Linked DNA regions of Daphnia pulex. The protein of the gene in region 3 interacts with the protein of the main gene of each other region in a biochemical or structural test. Links are inferred from orthologs where the notes say so. Each region holds a gene or a part of one and is shown on either strand. Other genes may lie near its edges.

Region 1 (3,597 bases), on a different chromosome or scaffold from region 3:
AGCGTCGGTCATTAATGAGTCGACAATTGCTAACGGGACAAATGCCGAAATCTATCTCTACTTTTTGGCCAAACCAAGTCGTCCAGAATAAAATTGTTTTCACTCGATCCGTGGAGTTATCTGCATAATAGGGGGCAACGCAATCATCCTATATGTCGTTAGAGATTCAATTTAGGAGATATCATCTGTTTGTTTTTTTTAAAATAAAGATCTAGATGTCGAATAATGTACATTTGTGCCGAATCGAAAGCCAGGTGGAAGGTAATAACAGACCATGACGAGAGTCACAAAAATGATGCAACAAAAGAAGAGTCCCCACTGTTTCTTTTGATCTCTTTCGCTATAGTTCAGGCATTGGAAAAAAATTAAAAGTTTATTAAGAAACAGCGAAAACTTTGCAGCGAGCTTTTATACCTTTTACCCATGATGATGACATCTATACTACCGTTGCACTTTTTCTAGACTAATGGAAATGAAAACCTGTAACCTAATCTATCAAAATGAGTTATCTTTTCCCCGCGATGATGTATTATCTGTCCCGCTTATCTTCACTTCAAAATCCAACTGTATTCCTACGTTTTCCTGTACCGGACAGAAAGAAAATCAAAAAGTTACATTTGAAACATTAAAGTTTTAGAGACCAATTAAATCACCTGAAATTAATTATAATTATTTATCTGCAATAAATGAATACACAAATCATACACAATTTTCATTGCCACATTGTTACAGAATCAAGTTGAATTTAGCAGTCCCGTTATACGCATTCTCCAGGAACAAGATCCTCTCAACATTTTAACTCTACTAGTCATGAATTTTTGGAAATCAATAAAAGATTTAATATTTATAGATTGTGACTCCAGCCTCAGGCAGCACTCGTACCCGAAGCAAATCGACGGAACAAAAGGATTGCCAAAGCCACGATGATGGCCGCGATTATGTAATTATAGGTAAGATCATTATTATTATTGGTGCTAGCTGTTTGTACTTGCTGGGATGGTGGTGGGGGCGGCTGGATGACAGCAATCGGCTCTTCAGTGTTTGATGCAGGCTCTTCAGGCGGGTTTTCGTTGTTCGATTCACCCTTCATTGTAACCTGAGCTGCGATCTCTCGGGCTTCTGCTTGAACGGCTTCGTTTTCGTTTGTCGTCAGCTGACTGGGCTCTTGAAGAAGATTCAAAATTTTCCCACATTCTGGGCAAACAAATTCTAGCGATTTTTTAGCCAGCCTTTGTCTTTCTTCTTGTGTGTAGTCCAGAGATGCGATGGCTCCCATACCAGGAGATGGCATGAATCCAATAATAGCTAGCAACGCTGTCCTTATGGACCAAGAAGGAAGCCAAGATTCAGGATGGTGACCAGATATACTAAGACATATTTTGCGATTGACTTCAAATCTTCCATTAGGCTGTGGAAAAGGAGAAACAATTATTTACTAGGTCAATTCATTCAATATCAATAAATTAATGAATAATACATACTGTCAGAAGCATTATGCTTGGCGGTTTCAAAGGGTATTCAGGAGGGAGGGATATCCTTCCATGATACACTCCACCTTCAAAATCAGAGTCGGCCGGACCTCTTACTGAGAAATGCCATTCAAACAAATTGTCTTCTACAGGCTGGGCAAAATATTCAGCAGTGGGCTGTGATAGCTCTTGAGCTTCTCTCATCAGCCTTTTCACAGCTTTAAAAAACATATAGATTAGTGAAAACAGACTTGATGTAACAATTGCTATTGCACAACAAAAGTGAAAATATACATTACCAGGACTTTTCATGTTGTATTTGTTTTCCATTTTATTAAGTGCACTTCTCAAAGAATGCAAATACAGAAATGGTATCACTGAAACTGATTGTTATTACCACATACAATTGCTAACTGAATCTGACTGAGATACGTCGATTTATTTGGGATGACGTATCGTAACGAAACGCCAGTAGCAGTAAATGTTGATATTAAAGTCTCATTTATCTATCCATAGATGGCGTCCACACTTCACATTTGTCGTCTGCTCTGAATCGCCCGAATTTTGTATTTTGCAATTTGCATATTTCCACGAGACCTCGATTTTTTCTTTCTCCTCGGCCACGTGAAGTGAAGGTGCTGCAAAAAGATCACAGTCGTGTCTCGAGTGCCCAAATAATCCAAAACCAATTCCAAAGGCAAAGATACTGAAAAATTAAAAAAAATCACGAACGCATGAAAATAATTAAGCAAACATGTTCGCTCGCAAGTGGCGTTCAATCTCGAAATTGCAGCAAGCTGTCGGTAGTGGGAATTTCCCACAATTTTTTGTCAGCCAGCGGCACAAGTTTGACAAAAGAGAAGCTGTAAGAATGAACAAAATATTTCTTTTTATACCAACGAATGAATTTGTAGTATACCGAATTTGTTTTTTTATTAGAACTTGTGGTCCAAAACCAACACAGATAGAGCCCTGGATCATTTCGATGATTTTTATGGTACATTTTATGGAGACCTTTGGCCAGCAACAAGACTTGCAATGTTGTCTACACCTAAACATTGTGCTTTAGTTAATTACTACGGTGACTATAACGAAACTATTGAAAAGCTCAAGGTACAAGTACTTGGGTTCAAATGTGAATTCATTCGATTGATTTTCATTCTCTTTCATTCAGAATATGGGGTGCATGGATATTCAAGAACTTTTTGAACAAAGCCGTTCCAAAAAAACCAAAACACGTAAAACCCCAGAAAACATGCCTACTGATGTCCTCGAAAAGGAAGCTGGTGTTGAAGATGAGGAGAGTGAAAACTTTCAAGAGCTCACAGATGACAGAGTCATCTCTCCTGGTCAGACAACTTCTGCCTACTTGAATTTTGTTCCGACAACAAAATTAAAAGGGATGGAAGATTGGCTAGAGGAAGAAGATCAGTTTGAATATGTCAAGCCAACTTACGACTTTGTGGTTGAAAAGCAAAAAGACGAACGCCTGGATTTCCCTTCTCTGCTCAAAGCGTTTGTTTTTCCACGAGGGGACATCTCGCGATTTCCTTCCCCTAAAAAAAGTACTTTTGGTACTTCCAGTAAGTTCAGTATCTAGATTCACTTTATGGATTACTAATTGTCATAGATACTTTTACTAGATTATTACTTGATGGACGCTGCATCTCTACTTCCCGTATTGGCGCTGAACCTACAGCCAACTGAGTCTGTCTTGGATTTATGTGCAGCACCAGGAGGGAAATCCCTGGCTATATTACAGACGCTCTATCCAAGTAAATCAATTCATCAGTTTAACTTTAATGCTTCATTACAATTTGTCTTTTTACTTCCTGATTTGCTGTAGATAGACTTGTCTGCAATGACATTACGATTTCGCGGATTTCGCGCCTTAATAATGTGCTGAAGCAATATCTTGGGCAGACGCAAACCTGGAAGGAACATCTAGAGGTCCGAAAATCGGATGCTTTGCACTGGTCTGAATTTGATGCGTTCGATAAAGTCCTGGTGGATGTGCCCTGTACCAATGACAGGCATTCAGTCATGGAGGATGACAATAATTATTTCAAGAAAGATCGAATGAAAGAACGGATAAGTTTGCCTGAAACTCAGTCAGCCCTCCTCTGGT
Region 2 (4,825 bases), about 13 Mb from region 3:
ACCATCGCGACGATCACCGTCACGACGGTCTCCTTCACGGCGATCTCCGTCACGACGATCAGCTCCACCACTGGGTCGGGGAGGACGATATTCATTTCCTCCGCCGCTGCTCCCCCTACCACCCACTGGCGGACGGTATTCGTTGGGATTGGCGGTCGACCTTTGAGGCGGCCGATAGTCTCCATCTTTGGGCGCCTGTCGTGAATCTCCAGAGTAGCCAGGACCATCACGTGCTGGACGCCGATTGTCTTGATCGTCATTACGATAGTCTCGTCGATCGTCCGTCTTCTCTCCCTGTGAAATTTTACAAAAACATTAAAAAAAAATTAAAATTTGATCAAAAAATTGTTTGAGCAGATACGACCCCGACAGTAATTTAAATTCAACTAGTCTGGGTGTCTGTCCCTCAACTCTTTAATGTTAAGCACCATGCAACGACTCAATACATGCAAAGGGAATTCATGCAAGCCAATTCATTTATAGGTGCTAATTTCAAAACTAAAAGCCAAAGCGAAATTCAATTCAATCTCACCTCGCTAGAGCGCCCGCGCCCTCCGCTGGGACGTTCAGAGGAACGGCCACCACTGCCATGGGAATTATCGCGTTGATTTCTATCACTGAAATTTAAAAAACAAACAAATTAAGTTTCGAGAATCAAATAAAACATTTGAATGAGCTTACTCTTGGCGATCAGTTTCACGTCCACGGAGAGGCGGTTCCCGCTCCTTCATCTGTTTCTCCTTGAGCCGTTCTTCAATGGCGCGTTCACGTGCCGCAGTATCCACCGGCCTGGCTGCACCGAAAATGGATGCAGAGCTGGGTGGAGCCGCTGGAGCTGGGGCAGCAGCAGCAGCTGGCCGTTCAGTTATGGGAGCAACAGCAGCAGTTGGTTCATCGGCAACGGAACCCTCTTCAATTGGGACAGATCGGGGTTTCAGAGATAACTTTGGTCTTTCCTTGGTCGGTTCTAAATAATCAAAATGAAAAATCTTATTAACAATCCAATGCAAAAAGGGAGAACGTGTCAACTTACCTCCAGCAGCGCTTGGGCGTTCACTTCGCTGCATTTCGTCACGGTTGAACGACGAGGGACCATCTCGCTCACGTCCAAAAGAGGAGGGACCGTCCCGGTCACGTCCAAACGACGAGCCGCCTTCTCTGTCTCGACCGAACGAAGAAGGACCGTCACGTCCGCGACTGAATGAAGACGGACCGTCTCTATCACGTCCACCAAAAGATGAGCCACCTTCTCTATCTCGTCCTCCAAACGACGACGAGCCTTCTCGGTCACGTCCACCAAAAGATGAAGGACCATCGCGATCGCGACCACCAAAACCTGAGCTTGGAGGACCGTCTCGGCCGCCACCGAACGAACTAGAAGGACCGTCTCTCCTGGGACCAAATGAACTTCTCTCAGACGAAAGAGCTGAGCCGGGTGGGCGATCCCTTGGATTGAATGAAGCAGAGTACCGTTCGCCAGCAGGTTCTAATTTCAAACAGAATAGTTAAAGACATTGCTGGGAAATCAAATTTGTTGAATCAAATTTACCTCGTTCCATCCTGTCTCCTCCTCTGTCACCACCCCTGAATCCACCACCACCACCGCGATCCTGGCCTGGAGGAGGTCCCTCCCTTGGTGCATTACGCCAATCGGAAGGGGTACGATCTTCCCTTTCCTCGTCATTGCGAGTAGGACGGCCACGACCTCGCCCCATACCGCCAGCGCCCTGTTCTTGATCACCATCTGCGCCGCTAGCAATGTCCACTCGGATTTTGCGGTTCTTAATCATCTGCAAAACAAGGACAAATGGAAACACTACAAGGTCAAATAGAAAAATTTGCAAAATTACCAATTCGTTCATCGTAAGGGCGTCAACTAAATCTTGCCTAGTTTCAAATTCAGCATAACCAAAGCCTCTCAGTCTGCCACCATCACCACCTTCTCTTGGCAGACGGACAGATTTAACCTAGGTAACCAGAAAAAAAGAGTATGAAATATCAGTAGAGAAAAAGTTGCTGTTGTGAAAGCGCAATTTCTTACCGAAAGCCCATGGAAGAACTTGGATACATCCTCTACTTCAATATCATAAGGTAGATTGGCTATATAAGCTGTGTAAGGTGCATTGTTGGGTATCCTAGATTCATCAATGTCTGATCCCCTGGCTGCCCGTGGTGCTGTGGGCAACAACAGCTTCTCCTTGTAAATCGCCTCTACAAATAAAACAAAAAATTACATTGTTGATACTCAATATGTCAGCGTATTAAAACAAAATATTTGACTTGCCATCTTCCATTTCATCAGCCCAACTGGTTTTGGAGGGTGCCATGACGACAGCTTCTCCAGACCTGGAACCTCCATGGTCGTCAGAGAGGAACTCATTCAATGACAGGACCTTTCCTTTGGATTTCTTCCCTTTTTTGGCTGAAATTCAACAGTTAAAAATTCACATCATTATTCAAGGCACCATTTTTAATAATCTATACACGACAAATCAGAAGCGAACAAGTGCCACATGTGAATTTAACCGGAAAGATTTCTAACGTCACTTTATCCGATTGTTACCACAAAAATAAAAATTACTCCACGACGTAGACGAAATTATGGAAAACAATTATTCGACATCACCGGTCTCTTTATCGAGCTTAAAACAGTAAATATCAAGAAAATGCCACGAGGAGAAATTTTTCCTTACCGGAAGCAGCCATGATTTTTTCTGAATGCACTCGTCAGTGCGCGGACTACTAGAGCTAGAGGACGGGACTCGTTGGACAATTCTTATGTTTGTCACGTAATTTTTTTTACACAATTAAATCATAGAAGTTTAAAAATCCTGTTTCAATTTTGATTTAGTTTCAGTATCTAAAATGAGCAGTTTACGAAATATTTGTTATTTAATATTGGTTGCCGAACCCAAGCCAACAAGTTTTCTGCCTCGAATATCTAGTTGCCGAAACGAATGTAAATGTAGTTGCCACCAATCTACACGAGGTGGCGTTGGATGGCTTCTTCTGCTGCTATCGATTAATAAAATGAATCGATTCACGATTGAAAGTCGGTGTGTTTTTTTTTCACGAGTCATGTGACAGTTCCCTTTTGACTAGAAACTAGAAAGAGAAGTCTTAGCTCAATTCACTTTAGTTCTCTTTCAATTTACTATACACAAAAATGGCCATTGCTGCAGCGAAAGGAAGGCTTATAGCCGTCATCGGTGATGAGGTAAATATATTAAAAATGATTTTATCGAACTTCATTTGGTTTCCAAATTTTAAAAAACAATGATTAATTGCAGGACACTTGTGTTGGATTCCTTTTGGGTGGCATTGGAGAGATGAACAAAAACAGGCAGCCCAACTTTATGGTCGTAGACAAGAGTACGAAACAACTTGAGATTTTGAGGTGGGAGAATGAAGTAAAATTTTCTCCTTGTTATGCTTCATACAGATACGAGCATCAGCGAAGTGGAGGACTGCTTCAAGCGCTTCCTCAAGAGAGATGACATTGACATCATTCTCATCAACCAGAATGTGAGTTTGAATGGAATGAATTGATTACGTGTTTGCTCACTTCCTCGCTTAATCATTCAGGTAGCAGAGATGATCAGGCACGTGATTGACAACCACAATGAACCAATTCCAGCAGTGCTCGAAATTCCTTCCAAAGATCATCCTTACGACGCGTCAAAAGATTCCATTCTCCGTCGTGCCAAGGTGTGTTTTTATTTTTAATTCAATAATCACTGATCAAATCATTTCTTTTCGTTTTTCTAGGGAATGTTTAGCGCCGAAGACACCAAGTAATAAAAGTCCTACTGCCATCGGCGCGTAGAATATATTCCCCAATTAGTTTTTGTTTGTTGTTGGGTGTTTTTCTTTCTTTTTCCTTGATGCATTCCTGTCCAGTCTTCATTGTTAATTGAACCTTAAATAGAGCAATCAACAGTCTTTTATGTACACAACTTTCCGCTCCGGCAATCGATTGAAATTATCGACCCCCTCGTTTCCCCAAAAAGAAAGTTTAGCCAATTAGGAGATTCACGTCAGAAAAGATGGGGCCAACTTGGGAGATCTTTTATCAATCAGCGCTTCTTTGTTGGGAGGAAAAGTAAGTATAGTACGTAATTGGATTTTTTAGCCTGTTGAATATTTTCTTTAAAAAAACCCAAATTTGTGCAAGGAAAAAGATTTTGAAGGAAGTTTAGTTGCTATGACACCTGCCAACGTGATCATCAAGCGTGATAAGATGTAACCAATTCCTGTCGAAGTTAAGACGGAATCATAAATTATTTTCATCTTTTTCCACTTGATTAGATAGAATCCTCCGGAGGCCAGACTAAAATTCTTGAGAAGGATCACAAAGGCAAGCGAATCCTCAATCCAATTGTGTCCAAGATTAGATTGAGGGTTATTTATCAGTGCGAAAATTTCCAGAGAGTGGTTCTGAATTATTGTGTAAGACTGGCGTCTGCGCACTCGGTATTCACAATTCCTTCCTTGGGTGAGAAAAATGCCTGGGCCAAGTTGAACAAGGATCAGTAGGAGGTCGACCCTTGAAGACAAATATTTTAGCTTGTATAGATATGTCGGAGCATCATCAACAGCTCGTAATTTCAAATGCCTCGGTGGACATTTTGAAAAACTGTGACGGGATCCCACCGACTACGTTAAAAAACGACTTGTTCAGTCAGTTCCAAATTGAGCATCCGCTGTACAATTCCCAAGTGATGTTCATCTTCCGCGTGTTAGCCATCACCACCGGAGTGCCCATCCACTTGTTGGTGGTTTTTGTCATTCTGAGAACTCGCCAACTGTACAATCCGCGCAACGC
Region 3 (4,781 bases):
CACCGTCTTCCTCTTGGCGTGTTCAGTGTAGGTGACGGCGTCACGAATCACGTTCTCAAGGAACACCTTCAACACACCGCGGGTCTCCTCGTAGATGAGACCAGAGATTCGCTTGACACCACCACGACGGGCAAGACGACGGATGGCCGGCTTGGTGATTCCCTGGATGTTGTCACGCAAAACTTTGCGATGACGTTTGGCGCCTCCCTTGCCGAGTCCTTTTCCTCCTTTGCCGCGACCAGTCATTTTCAAATAAGTTTCAGAGATTTAAAAAATATCGAATGATGTTATGTTAAACTCACTATGGTCCCAATATATACCCTACCGGATCCTCAAGCTGAACTCCTATTGGTGGAACTCAGCTCCAGCCATCATTTGTCAACAAAAAGGATTTCCGTTATAAATTTTCTATTCCCTCCCATTTTTGAATTAACCAATCCCTAGCCAGTGAACTCGCTTAGCTCTGCAACGTCCGTAGGTTCCCCACATATACCAAGCACTTTTCACTAGTTAGGACATCTGAAATTTCACTCGCTCGAAATGGCTCGTACCAAGCAAACTGCTCGTAAATCCACCGGTGGCAAGGCGCCCCGCAAACAGTTGGCCACCAAAGCCGCTCGCAAGAGTGCCCCGGCCACTGGAGGAGTCAAGAAACCCCATCGTTATCGTCCCGGCACCGTCGCCCTTCGTGAGATCCGTCGCTACCAAAAGTCGACCGAGCTTCTGATCCGCAAGTTGCCATTCCAGCGCTTGGTCAGAGAAATCGCCCAGGATTTCAAGACAGATTTGCGTTTCCAGAGCTCGGCCGTCATGGCCCTGCAGGAGGCCAGCGAGGCTTACTTGGTGGGTCTTTTCGAAGACACCAACTTGTGCGCCATCCACGCCAAGCGAGTCACCATCATGCCAAAAGACATCCAGCTCGCTCGTCGTATTCGTGGTGAACGTGCCTAAGCGACCTTTTCCCTTTTGACTTACCAATCGGCCCTTTTCAGGGCCACCATTAGTTGCTTGAAAAGATTTTTCCTGCCAGACATTTCAATATCTTGGATTAAACTAGATCAGTATTGTTTAATTACCAACTTCTTTCTAATTTTCTGGAAATTAATAGTTGTATAAATTTCTTTCATCCAAGGTTGAATTTTAGAATAATTAGTTAGTTGCTATAAGAAGTGTAACGTTATATAAGACCTAAAACTAATTTAATTAAAAGTAACCCAGTAACATGATTTGGTCGACTTCTGTTGGGTTCGTCATTTTCAGTTAAAGTACGGATTTCGATAATTACTTATGTAAATAAACGTGTAGGTATGACCGAAAAAGAGGGGCTTACGAAAGAGGTTAAGTATATCAAGGATTTTTCGACATTACTTATTCTAGAAATTTACAGCAGTTTTTAGTTTGACAAGTTTAAGTTGACCTTCTAGAGCCATAAAAGCCTACAAGCCACAATCTCACTAAACACCAGAATAACAGATAATTTCGTTACCTTTTATATACTCTGCTAAATATAATAAGACGAAGTTGACTTGTTGATGAGAGTGACGAAGAGAAGGTGCTAGCGTCAACCTACTAACTAAATATTATGACGAAATTGTTGCTAGTCCATTTCACAGCAGACTGCAGACGACGTTTGTTCCAATTCATTTCAACCGAAGCCAACGTAAACAATATTTTCAGTTCGTGCCGGTATGCAATATAAAAATATAAAATATTTTTGGTTATTTAAATTATACATTTTTTACGTAGATATCTCGCTTTCATAATGTTCTTCAATCTTGGGTTTTTCACGTAAACCTACAGAATGATTAAATGGCTGTTGTCGCTCATACGTTCATTATTGAACAGAATTTTGAGATTTTTTTGGCCCAGTGATTCAAGTGAATTTACCCTGCCTGTTCACATAAAAGCTGCAGGAGGTAAAACATTTCTTATCGAAATGAGTCGAGATTGGGATGTAGCTCGGATCAAGAAATTTATAGCCCCTAAAGTTGGTCTGAAAGTTGAAGATATCAGCATTATTTTGGCTGGCAAAAGTCTTGCTGATGACTTGTTACTAGAGGTTTGTTAATTTCTTATATTGCTTTTGTTGATATTCTAAGTTTAATTTACCCAACAAATTTTTAGGAGTGTGATCTTGGTCATAATAGTATTCTAAATGCTGTTAAACTTAAAGTCATAAAAAAAACTGATGCAACTTCTTCCGAAGACAAAAATAGGAGAAATACACCATTTCATCAAGACAAGCCTCTTTGTGAAACATTGCTCGACTTGCAGTTAACTGAAGAGGAACAGAAATTGTTGCACAAATCTCTGGGTACGTCTGCAAATAGTTTTCCAAATCATTTTATGAATTCTGACAACTTCCTCGTTTTTAGCTTGTAGTTCTCCAGAGTATAAGCAAAAGAAAGCTCAGTTTTATGTTTACTGTGAATTTCCATGCAAATCAATACAAAGTGGTAAACTTCGAGTTCGATGTAGCCTTTGCAAAGCTGGTGCCTTCACCGTGGACCGAGATCCTTGCTGCTGGGATGATGTTTTACGACCGGAGCAAGTTAGTGGTACTTGTCAGATGGAAGATTGTGATCATTCGTGGGCCGAATTCTACTTCAAGTGCGCACATCACCCTTCACGAGGAGAGACTGACTCAACTCTTCCTCTGAATCTCGTCAAATCAAACTTCAAACAGGTTCAGTGCCTGGCCTGCATGGATATTAGGTAGCAATCGTTTTAAAGTTAAGATAGAATTCAGTAACTTGGCAACTTATTTTAATATCCCACTTTAGTGATCCTGTTTTGGTATTTCAATGTACCAACTCTCATGTGATATGTTTGGAGTGCTTCCAGCAATACTGTATGTCTCGATTGAACGAAAGGAGGTTTGTCTTCGATCCCAATATCGGTTATACCCTGCCTTGTCCAGCTGGATGTGAGAACTCATTGATCGACGGAACCCAGCACTTTAAAATTCTAGGAAATGAGCAGTACCAACGACTCCTGCACTTTGGAGCAGAGGAATATGTTATGTCGACAGGTGGTGTGCTTTGTCCACAACCTGGCTGTGGAATGGGCTTACTTGCGGACCCTTCTTGTCGCCGAATTCAATGCACAGGGGGATGTGAGGTAAGCATATTCTCATAAATATAACCTTGTTAAAAAATGTCTAAATGTTTTTCGCAACTCAGTTCGTGTTCTGCCGCGATTGCCTACAAGGCTATCACATCGACGAGTGTCAGACAAATGGAGAAAACAACTTTCAATCCATGTTGACAACCACCGAGTACGTTGTAGATCCCGGACGAGCTGCTCAGGTTTCTCTAATATCCACATTTGAGCTTGATTCTAGATTAAATGAGTAACATGAAATTATTTACTTAGGCGAGGTGGGATGCAGACAGTCGCGTTACCATACGTGTTACTTCAAAACCTTGCCCAAAGTGCCGAACGCCAACCGAGCGAGATGGTAAATTAAATTATGATCTGGGATTATTTCTCTAACGGTGTAGCTAATTTCTTGTTTGTTCACAGGAGGTTGTATGCACATGATCTGTACTCGACAACAGTGTGGATTTCATTGGTGCTGGGTTTGTCAAACGGAGTGGACAAGAGAGTGCATGGGAAGTCACTGGTTCGGATAAGACAACCTTTCCGCTTTCTTTATCAACCCTTTTATAAAGTACCGTGGTTCCTTGGTGTCGGGTAGTATAAGGGTGGAGAGTGTACATTTCTTTACGCTATACTAGTCAAGAAATTGATGACATTTGGTTCCTATAATAATCTAGACAAATCTGTTAATTGAAAATTGAAATGAATCATTTATCCGAAATATTCAAATGCTGTTCTAGGGAAGTCTTAAGAAGCCTTTAATTTTCCAACTGTCACAATCAAAATATTGCAAACATCCCGTGTTTCACCGATTGAAGGCCTAGACAAGATTTGTGTAATCGGCAGTCGAGGTATAGGGAATGATAAATACCCATATGTATAGCCAATGAAAATAAAGCCAGAAGATTCCCACTAGAAATAAATTTTTCAAGATTTTAAGCCTTTACAAGACGGTGATGAAATTGAATCCTTTTTCCCAATGAACAGAATGTTGAAGTCTCTGGCAAGTGAAAAAAAAGTCTCATTTCTACTGCAATCAGTCCTTGCCACTCTCTTCGTCATCATCATCGGTAGCAAATTCAGATTCGGAGCCTCCAGAGTTCTTATCTTCTTCATCCTCATCATCGGAAATATCCCATTGTGGATGCTCAGTAGGAATCTCCTCTGCTTCTTTAACGTCCATCTGTGAATTAAAATTTTAATCAATCAATAACCTATTTAGCAAAATTAAAATAATTAGCCGGAATATACCTTGATATCCTTCATTTGATCAAAACCAAAATATGAATCGGAGCGTAAACACACGGCGAACGTGTAGAATCCCGGCTTGAACGGAGCTGTGAATTTGAGTTGGATTTCTTCGTGCTCTACTAGATTGGTAATGTGATAGGGGGCGGTCAGAAGCATTTGTTGTTTCCGGTCCGTAATATAAGCCCACCAATATTCTTGTTTGTCTTCGGGATAGAACGGGCAGTACACCGAGTGCGAAAACTGACTTTTACCCTCCAGCAGCCTCTGGCGACGCATTGCAACATCACTCTGTAGCTTTTCTAATTGATCGTCGTCTTTCTCGGGCAAAGAACCATCATTGTTGGCTGCTTCCGCCTCGCCGTCGTCAGATTCGTCCAATTCAACTTCGTCCTCGGCTTCAACTTCACTACAACTTTCGGATTCTTCTT

Evidence for each region.
Region 1: the proteins of E3 ubiquitin-protein ligase parkin-like (region 3) and ubiquitin-conjugating enzyme E2 J1-like form a complex in vitro, tested with the Homo sapiens proteins (4 studies listed by BioGRID). The link is inferred for Daphnia pulex from reciprocal best matches to the Homo sapiens genes PRKN and UBE2J1.
Region 2: of the proteins of E3 ubiquitin-protein ligase parkin-like (region 3) and eukaryotic translation initiation factor 4B-like, one has a biochemical effect on the other in vitro, tested with the Homo sapiens proteins (2 studies listed by BioGRID). The link is inferred for Daphnia pulex from reciprocal best matches to the Homo sapiens genes PRKN and EIF4B.

What each region holds. Positions count from the first base shown.
Region 1 is NC_060019.1:13,202,507-13,206,103, forward strand, and holds ubiquitin-conjugating enzyme E2 J1-like, read right to left. Parts: upstream 1,963-3,597; 5' UTR 1,800-1,962; coding exon 1,769-1,799; intron 1,688-1,768; coding exon 1,482-1,687; intron 1,409-1,481; coding exon 866-1,408; 3' UTR 650-865; downstream 1-649. Other genes in the region: alpha-(1,3)-fucosyltransferase C-like, read right to left, coding at 1-148, 232-340, 415-425; 5-methylcytosine rRNA methyltransferase NSUN4-like, read left to right, coding at 2,224-2,334, 2,409-2,582, 2,644-3,052, 3,113-3,244, 3,316-3,595. UniProt on the Homo sapiens protein: Catalyzes the covalent attachment of ubiquitin to other proteins. Functions in the selective degradation of misfolded membrane proteins from the endoplasmic reticulum (ERAD) and is essential for cells to recover from ER stress.
Region 2 is NC_060026.1:16,024,806-16,029,630, reverse strand, and holds the start of eukaryotic translation initiation factor 4B-like, read right to left. Parts: upstream 2,950-4,825; 5' UTR 2,707-2,949; coding exon 2,694-2,706; intron 2,423-2,693; coding exon 2,285-2,422; intron 2,212-2,284; coding exon 2,042-2,211; intron 1,968-2,041; coding exon 1,851-1,967; intron 1,791-1,850; coding exon 1,550-1,790; intron 1,487-1,549; coding exon 1,034-1,486; intron 968-1,033; coding exon 682-967; intron 618-681; coding exon 533-617; intron 295-532; coding exon 1-294. Other genes in the region: V-type proton ATPase subunit F-like, read left to right, coding at 3,167-3,217, 3,291-3,372, 3,443-3,525, 3,586-3,708, 3,769-3,798; beta-3 adrenergic receptor-like, read left to right, coding at 4,578-4,825. UniProt on the Homo sapiens protein: Required for the binding of mRNA to ribosomes. Functions in close association with EIF4-F and EIF4-A. Binds near the 5'-terminal cap of mRNA in presence of EIF-4F and ATP.
Region 3 is NC_060026.1:3,260,769-3,265,549, forward strand, and holds E3 ubiquitin-protein ligase parkin-like, read left to right. Parts: upstream 1-1,575; 5' UTR 1,576-1,686; intron 1,687-1,746; 5' UTR 1,747-1,801; coding exon 1,802-2,059; intron 2,060-2,124; coding exon 2,125-2,314; intron 2,315-2,375; coding exon 2,376-2,715; intron 2,716-2,783; coding exon 2,784-3,120; intron 3,121-3,182; coding exon 3,183-3,308; intron 3,309-3,375; coding exon 3,376-3,460; intron 3,461-3,525; coding exon 3,526-3,635; 3' UTR 3,636-4,138; coding exon of another isoform or gene 4,139-4,285; 3' UTR 4,286-4,347; downstream 4,348-4,781. Other genes in the region: histone H4, read right to left, coding at 1-246; histone H3, read left to right, coding at 541-951; translocation protein SEC63 homolog, read right to left, coding at 4,139-4,285, 4,354-4,781. UniProt on the Homo sapiens protein: Functions within a multiprotein E3 ubiquitin ligase complex, catalyzing the covalent attachment of ubiquitin moieties onto substrate proteins. Substrates include SYT11 and VDAC1.